Alligator mississippiensis: one gene and its partner. The protein of the gene in region 2 interacts with the protein of the main gene of each other region in a biochemical or structural test. Links are inferred from orthologs where the notes say so. Each region holds a gene or a part of one and is shown on either strand. Other genes may lie near its edges.

Region 1 (3,912 bases), on a different chromosome or scaffold from region 2:
CACAGCGACAATGCGTAGACCCTGCCGGAGAGGGAATAGATCCGGTTTCAGTGCGGCCTCATCAGCTATTAATCGGTACAAAATGTTTTCCTCCCACCAACCGCTGCGTCATTCTTTCCATGGGGAGCGCTCTGCTCTGGGCCACGCGGGTCGCTGCTGCTGCATCGCCCGTCGCGCTTGACATGAGGCTGTTAACGTCTCCCACCGCGACACGGGTCTGCATCCCACGTGGAAAAGATCATAGGTGCGGCCTAATGAGAGCTCCTAGAGACCCCCGGGGGCTGGGCACTGGCACTGGTGTCATGGCGCGATGGACCATTTATGGTGGAAACGCTGGCAGGTTTCAGGGGACGGCTGAGCTGCGAGCAGGTCCGGTGCATCGTTTACCAGCCCTTGAAGTCCTGGCAACGGAGCGCAGCAGAGTGGTTGGGGGGGTCGGGGTTGATCCAGGACATTAGTCAGATCATTTTCCGTGCCTCAGTTTCCTCCTGCTATAAAATGGGTGGAATCCTTGCCTCACTTAAGGTATTGCCAGAGTAAGCAAATCGGTGGTTTCTCCAGTGCCGTGTTGCATTATTAATGCTGTGGATGCGGCAGGGGGCTTGGCGAGCCCAGACCCCCACGCGTTAGTACGAGCAGGGTGGAGGCACCCCCTTGCCCTCGGCAGCGCCAGCGCCAGGCACCCGGCTCCGGCGCGGCTCTGGGGGGCAAACGTTTCCGGGGGGGACAAGCGTCCGTGAGGCCGGCCTGTCCCCCCCCACGTCCCCTCCCCTGCTCAGGCCCAGAATTTCATCTGGTGGCTTCAGGTCTCAGGTGCTCGCGTCTCAACTCCGCGCGGGTTGGGGGGGGGAGGGTTGTGAGTTCACACGCGCGGGGGGGGGGATTGTGAGTTCACCAGTGCAAAGTGCGGGTGAGTTCATACGCGGGTGGGTGGGGATTGTGAGTTCACCAGTGCAAAGTGCGGGTGAGTTCACACGCGGGGGGGAGATTGTGAGTTCAGCAGTGCACAGGGGGGAGCAGGAGTTGTCGGGCCGGGTGCACACGCGGGGGGTGAGTCCCCCAGTGGCTGTGACCGCCCAGGGGCGCTGCGCTGTGCGGGCCCCCCCCCACGCCGGTGCCGGGAGGGGAGGGGTCAACGCGGCCCGGGTTGCCAGGAGCAACCCCCAGCCCAGCCCGGAGGGGGAGGGGTGGTGGAACACGCCCCGCCCACACCTGGGGGAGGGCGGGGCCGGGGAGCCACCCCCCAGCGGGAGTCATGTGACCCGCCCCGCCCGGCCCGGCGGCGAAGGGCGTGGCCCACTCCTAGGGGGCGTGGCCCACTCCTGGGGGCGGGGCCTGGCCGCACTGGGGGGCGGGCGGTAGGTAACAGGTTGCAGCGGGGAGCGGTCGCGGGAGCGGTCGCAGCGCGGTGAGTGCCCCCGGGGCCATGTTCTAGCCCTCGCCGAGGGCTGAGTGGACCGGACCGGACCGGACCGGACCGTACCGTGTTGCACCCCTGGCGGGTTGCGGGAGGAGCTGCTCCTTGCTCGGCAGCCTCTGGGTCCCCCCGGGCGGGCGGGCTTGGGCTGCCGGCTCCGGGCGGCGGGACGAGACGGGACGGGACGGCGGGGTCGCACCCTGCTCGCGGCAGCCCCAGCCCCAGCCCGTCGTCCCGCCGCGGGTCTGTGCAGCCCCCGGGGACGGAGACCCGGCGGCTCTGCGGAGCCCGTCCCGGTGCTTCCCCGCCTGCAGCTGGGGCCCGTCGTCCCTCGTCTGTCACCGGCCGCCCGGGCCCAGCCCGGCTCCGTGCCCGCGCGGTCTTCTCCTCTCCGGGGTCGGGACCCGCCGCCCTCTCGCCGGGACGAGCCCCAGTCCGTGCGGGGGCTCAGGGAGGACGCAGCTGGGCTGGTCTCGGCGGGGCAGGCGGAGCGATGGGCTCCAGTCGCAGACCGGGGGGGCTGAAGTTGGATATTGCGAAAAACTTCCTCCGGAGGAGGACGAAGGCGTTGGGGCTGGTCCTGCCCTGAGCAGGGGCTGGACTGGGCAGTGGTTGGTTCTCAACGTTTTTTGGACCAGGACCCACTTGTCAACATCGCTGGCCAGTGCTGGGCCGGTGCCCTTCACCTCCGACCCACTGCCCCCTACCCGCAGTGTGTGGGGAGCGGCGGGACCCCAAGCAGCTCCTCCTGGCTGCAGCTCTGCCAACCCGCAAGGGAAGAGCTGCGGTTTCCTATGTTTGTTTGTTTTTTTCTTTAAAGGAGAATTTAAAGATTGTTTGTGATCCATTCATATATTCTTACAACCCCCTTTTGGGCTGTGACCCTATGGGTTGAGAAATGCTGCCCTAGATGTGACCTCCTGAGGCCCTTCCCGCCCTCGTGCTCTAGGTTTCTGTGACTGTTGCGATGCTTCTGCCCCGACTTTGCTGCACTGGTGAATTAAAAATATTTCTCCAAGTCTTTCATGGCTGCTTGACACTAATCTCTGACCAAGTCTGGCATAAAGGTCAAGTGTCGGTGCCCAGCTGGGGGGCTGCAGGCAGTTTGGGTTCATCTTTCTGTCCTGGAAATGAATATATCTCTTTTACCCCCCAACTTTGGCACTGTTCAGCACAGACAGAATCAGAATTTGACGTGAGGTTTGTTGTCTCATGTGAAACCCCAGGTCTTGCATGTGATTAATCCTGAGTGCCAGACGGATGAATTTAGTCTCATCAGAGAAGTCTTGACCGGGCAAAACTATGTTCAGTCCCACACATCCACATGATCTCTTACTGAGGTCATGTGGGACTCTTACAGGACTGTAAAATGGGTTTAAACCCATTTCCCACTGAAGAAGTGCCACATAAGTTGTTCTAAAACTTTAATGTGGAGCTCTTAAGACGGATCGTATTCCTGCTGGTTCTGAAGGATGGTATTTTTAGCAGCCAATTTAAACTCTGTGTGGAGGGGAAGGAGATCTGAGCCTTTGATTAGTTGTTCACACTCTGCAGTTGTTTAAAACCTAACTGCTGGGCTGCAGCTCTCAAAGCTGAAGCCCCCATCTTTCTAACCACTTCTCTTCCCCCCCTGAGTTAATACTTCATGTTCAAGGCCCTGTACCAATAACTTATAGCTTTTTAAAAATATCATATCTATATCCCTATAATTGAGATGCTCTGACTTATTGTAATAAAATATATGGATGAATAAGAGTGCGCTCTGCACAGAATACACCCATCTGCTTTTGAAGGCTTGTCTGTGCCGTAGTGCACGGATTGCCTAGGCATAAATCCTGGTTTCTATCGGGAGTCTTGACAGGAGAAAGATTTCATCCCTGAGAACAATTTCATTGCTTCCCCTTGCTCTAGCTCGTGCCGTTCCATCCTTCAATGCAGTGTTGCAGCTTTTCAGAAAGAGGCACTGGGAGGCTCATTTATGTAATACAGTTGTTCTGTTGGTGGTTTCATACCATTGTAAGCCCTGGGTGATGGAGTGATCTGTGTCTGGGATCTGAGTGCTGAGAGGAGAGGCAGTGGTGGGGCCAAGAGATCTGGGTTCAGATCCTGACTCTGCCACTGACTCTGTCTACCCTTGATCAAGTTACTTAACACCTTGGGGTCATTCTTCTCCCTGGTGAGAATAAGCATGTCTTACTTACCTTGCCCTGCTAGATTGGGTTTGGCTGTAAGTGGGGCACAGCTCCTAGTACACAAGGGTTCTGACCCCTGTGGGACCTGGGGGTTAATGGTCTAATATAATCAGTCTAGTGCTTAAAATACATGTTTCCTCTTAAGAAAAATATGCCACCACATCCCCTTTCCTCTCATCTCTATCTATCGCATGAGCTGGCACCAGTGCTGAGCTTGGGATTCAGTAGGGTGTTAGGGAGGGAGAGGGATGTGGTGAGCAGAATAGCAGGCAGGGGCGATGGGGGGAAGGGTGTCTGGGCTCT
Region 2 (3,912 bases):
AATTGGCACAGATTACTCTGCAGAAAAAGCATGTTATTTTTGTCTGATCTTTAGACCTATATCACCAACCTGACTGCTCATATAATACGGCACTGGGTGTAATGTGAACACAGAGGCAAGAGGTGCTGCAGATGTAAATGGATTCCATGAATATAGCATATTTTTCCTTCAGACATTTGTGAATCATTTAAGATCCACTCTATTGTCTTGACTATCCCTCACAAAGCAGAGAAATCTGGCTATACAGTTGGAAAATGTAGGCCTGATCCAACTTTTAATGAAGTCAATGGACTTCATTAACTTCAGAGGATGCTGGACCAGGACCATTCAAAGTGACTTTTAAAAGAAACATATTCAGGGTTCCACTGTAATATGTGGACACAGGATCAGATTCCAAGAAAAGACAAAAACAGAAAAAGTCAATATTTGAGCTACATTATAATTATTTTTTAAAAGAAGTAATATATTCTTATACACATTGCTGTTTAAGATGCACAAGGAGTACACTGAAAGGAATGCATTATTGAGAGAATAGTGGAGGTGGTGGCATGTTATGGTTTTGACAATATCAAAACCAAATACTTGGTACTTTATACAGTACAAAAGTGGGTTTTCTGAATTTAACCAAAGTTATCCATATGAAAGAATATTTTTGTAATGGAAAATATTTTGTGCGCTTTTGTATGCTTCAGTTAATTTAATTTGGAAATTACAATATTTCTGTTTTTTAAATCATGTTGCTTTCTACAAATGGTATAATAAGATTTAATAATAACAACAGAAAGCTTAGTAGTTGCACATATAAAAGTATAGTTATGCAACTAACAAACCTGGATGGCATCCAAAAATACTAAAATGTAAAAATAGTTTTTTCTTCAGTTTTACATATCCTGAAACATACAAGAAAAAGACAAACTCTGGAAGAAATACAGTAAATGGCAGATCTACAGCAATTTTATTCTGCTTCTCTGAGGTATGTCCAGGAGGTTATGTTGTCTGTTCCGGATGAGTGTGTAAGAATTATACATATATATATATATATATATATATATATATATATATATATATATATATATATATATATATGGTTATATATAAATATAAAAATCAAGGCCAATTCAAGACAGAGCCTATTTGCCAATTGTGACAAGACGCTGCTCCTGAAAACAGATCATTTTAGAGTCATCTTCTTTTTTTAACAGCATGTCCAATCACTTCTTTCTCTGACACTCTGCACTCTTCCACTGTGACCATGGCCACAGTGACAGACAATCGTATGACCACTACTGCTTAAGTGTCATTCTCCGTGTCCTGTAAACATTTTTCCCTGCTGTACAAATGCAATAGAAAATCCTGATACTTTCCCCAGAATATTTATCTTTGTAGCCACGTGACTTTTCCTCCTTAATATTATTTGTTCTGACAATGACATGTGTCCTACTGCTTCAATCAAACTGATAGCAGTCCCTTCCAAGTCAAAAAGAGTGACTGGACAGTGCAATGCCATCTGTTGCTTGATGCCCTTGCCCACATTTTACAAAGTGACACTTCACAGTATATTTTCCATAACATGGATTTTTGATTCCTCCAGAAATCAGTTCAGCTCACTGACCAGAAAACCACAAAGGCCAGTGGAAACGAGGTGCACAGAAAGGTTATTTTTTTTTAACCGTATCGAAGCCACATATTGGATCTTCCTTTTTGGAGATTCGTATGTGTGCCGAGTCAATTGTGGCTTTAAATGTATGAGTATGAGATAGGTATAGGAGCATGTGGGTGAGCTAGATATGTAAGAGTATGAAATAGATGTCCAAGTATGAGCTATACAGATCTCGTACCCTGATATATGAGAGTTATCAGTATGAGATAGATAGATAGATGGATAGAGAGATAAGAGTATGAGATAGAGAGATAGATACCAGAGTATCACACACACACACACACACACACACACACACACCTGAGTGTGAGATTAAGATGTATCCATCTGGCACTGGGATCTCTCTCCCACACTCATCTACCCGAGCATGAGAGACAGAGGTAACGGTGCGAGATGCCCATGTGCGTAGGGCAGAGGCATCTCCTGCTCACACAGGCGAGCCCCAGGCGGACCCCCGAGTGCGAGCCCGAGCCCGAGCCCGAGCCCGAGGGAGGCAGCCTTGGGAGGTGCGAGCGGGGCAAGGCGCAGCGGAGCACGAGCCAGGCTTGCCCCCGGGGCCCGTGGCGGAAGGCGCTGCCACGGTGTCCGGGACCCGCGCCGGCCCGCCCGCCCGCCCGCCCGGCGGTGCCCGCGATGCCGCAGGCGGCGGCGGCGGCGGCGGCACTGGACAGCTCCCTCCCGCGCCCGCCGCCATGGCCCTGCGGCAGCGCAGCCGGCCGCCCCGCATCGCCCCGCGCCTACTCACCACAGCTTCCGCTTGAGGGGCATGAGGCTGCCGCGGTTGGAGGCGGTCACCCCGATGGCCATCTGCAAGACCGTCAGGTATTTCTGGTACTTCATTTTGCCGTCGCTCCCCCGGTCCCTGCCTCGTCCCCGCCGCCGCCACCGACAGAGTCTCTCCAGCCGCTGCATGCAACCATCCGATGGTGATTCCCAGGCATCTGCCGGCCCTGCCTCGCGCCTGCCGCTCTCCCCCGCCTGCCGCCGCTCCTGCTCCTCCTCCTCCGCCGCCGCCGCCGCCGCCGCCGCCGCCTGCTCCGCGCTCCCCCGGCTCACGCCGCCTCCTCCTCCTCCTCCTCCTCCTCCCGCGCTGCCCCCCGCTGACGCGGCCTCCTCCGCCCCCGAGCGCGGGGCATCTCCCGCCCGCGCCGCCGCCGCCACCGCTACCGCCACCGCCTCCTCCCCTCCCCTCCCCTCCCGTCCCCTCCGCGCTCCTCTCCTCCCGCCGCGCCGTGAGGCGGAGCTCCTCTCCTCTCGCCCGCACCTGCGGCCGCCCCCATGGCTCTGCCCTCGCCCCCTCTCGCTGCCCTGCGGCTCGGCCCCCGCTCGTCCAAGCTCCTTAGTGCCGAGAATAGCCCCGCGTTATTTCCTTCCCGCGCGGCGCCCCCCACCACGGCTGGGGCTGGGGCTGTGGCGGGCCTGAGCCGGGAGCTGTCCCGTCCCGTCCCGTCCCGTCCTGTCCCGCGCAGACGGACTTGGGGTCCCCCCGCGCCTCCTCAAGCGGCAGAGCCGGCGCCTCCCCTGCACAGCTCCCAGACCAACGGCCTGAAGGACACAAGCGCCGCTCTCCATTCTCCCAAGTGGCAGCAAGGACTGAAGTGAATCCACCTTGTTCAGTTATATGCGCGGGGGGGGGGGGGGGGGGGGGGGGGCGTTTCTATAGGTGCCACCACTTTGGTCATGCTGGAGGAAATAAAAAAGCATGATCAAGTGGTGGGGCATGGGCACAAGATGGATACTAATGCAGTCTTAAATTGTTGGTACCATTCAACCCCAAGTTCACTATTAAAAACCAAGTGCCCTGTCCTTTCAGCCTCAGCACACCCCAAATTTAAGTTGCGTGCAGTGTACTGATGTACCAGCCTTGACACACAGAAGCAGTGAGGTGCACTTGCCTCTTGGGGGGAGAGCAGTACCCAGCTGACCACCAATACTAGATGTTGTGACTAGCGCTACCAGAACAAACCCACCTCCTCTCAACAAGCTCAAAAACATCTTTAATGTCCACACAAAGCAGTGAAGACCTAACATAACATAACATGATACCCTTACTACTACTACTACTAACAATAATAAAAAAAAATCCTTTTGAACCTTCCCAGGAAAGATGCTCTCATATGAATACTGGGAAGCAGCACTCCAGAATTACAGCTCTTCAGCAGAGGTTTTGCTACCCATGTTCTCAAGATTATTACCAGAGATGGTTTGAAATTGACTCCTTAAAATATCAGTTGCCACAACAGTTCATTCGA

Evidence for each region.
Region 1: the proteins of TJP1 (region 2) and CGN form a complex in vitro, tested with the Homo sapiens proteins (2 studies listed by BioGRID and IntAct, with this or other methods). The link is inferred for Alligator mississippiensis from reciprocal best matches to the Homo sapiens genes TJP1 and CGN.

The regions. Positions count from the first base shown.
Region 1 is NC_081838.1:19,748,663-19,752,574, reverse strand, and holds the start of CGN (cingulin), read left to right. Parts: upstream 1-1,325; 5' UTR 1,326-1,408; intron 1,409-3,912. UniProt on the Homo sapiens protein: Probably plays a role in the formation and regulation of the tight junction (TJ) paracellular permeability barrier.
Region 2 is NC_081834.1:36,584,541-36,588,452, forward strand, and holds the start of TJP1 (tight junction protein ZO-1), read right to left. Parts: upstream 2,588-3,912; 5' UTR 2,573-2,587; coding exon 2,406-2,572; intron 1-2,405. UniProt on the Homo sapiens protein: TJP1, TJP2, and TJP3 are closely related scaffolding proteins that link tight junction (TJ) transmembrane proteins such as claudins, junctional adhesion molecules, and occludin to the actin cytoskeleton.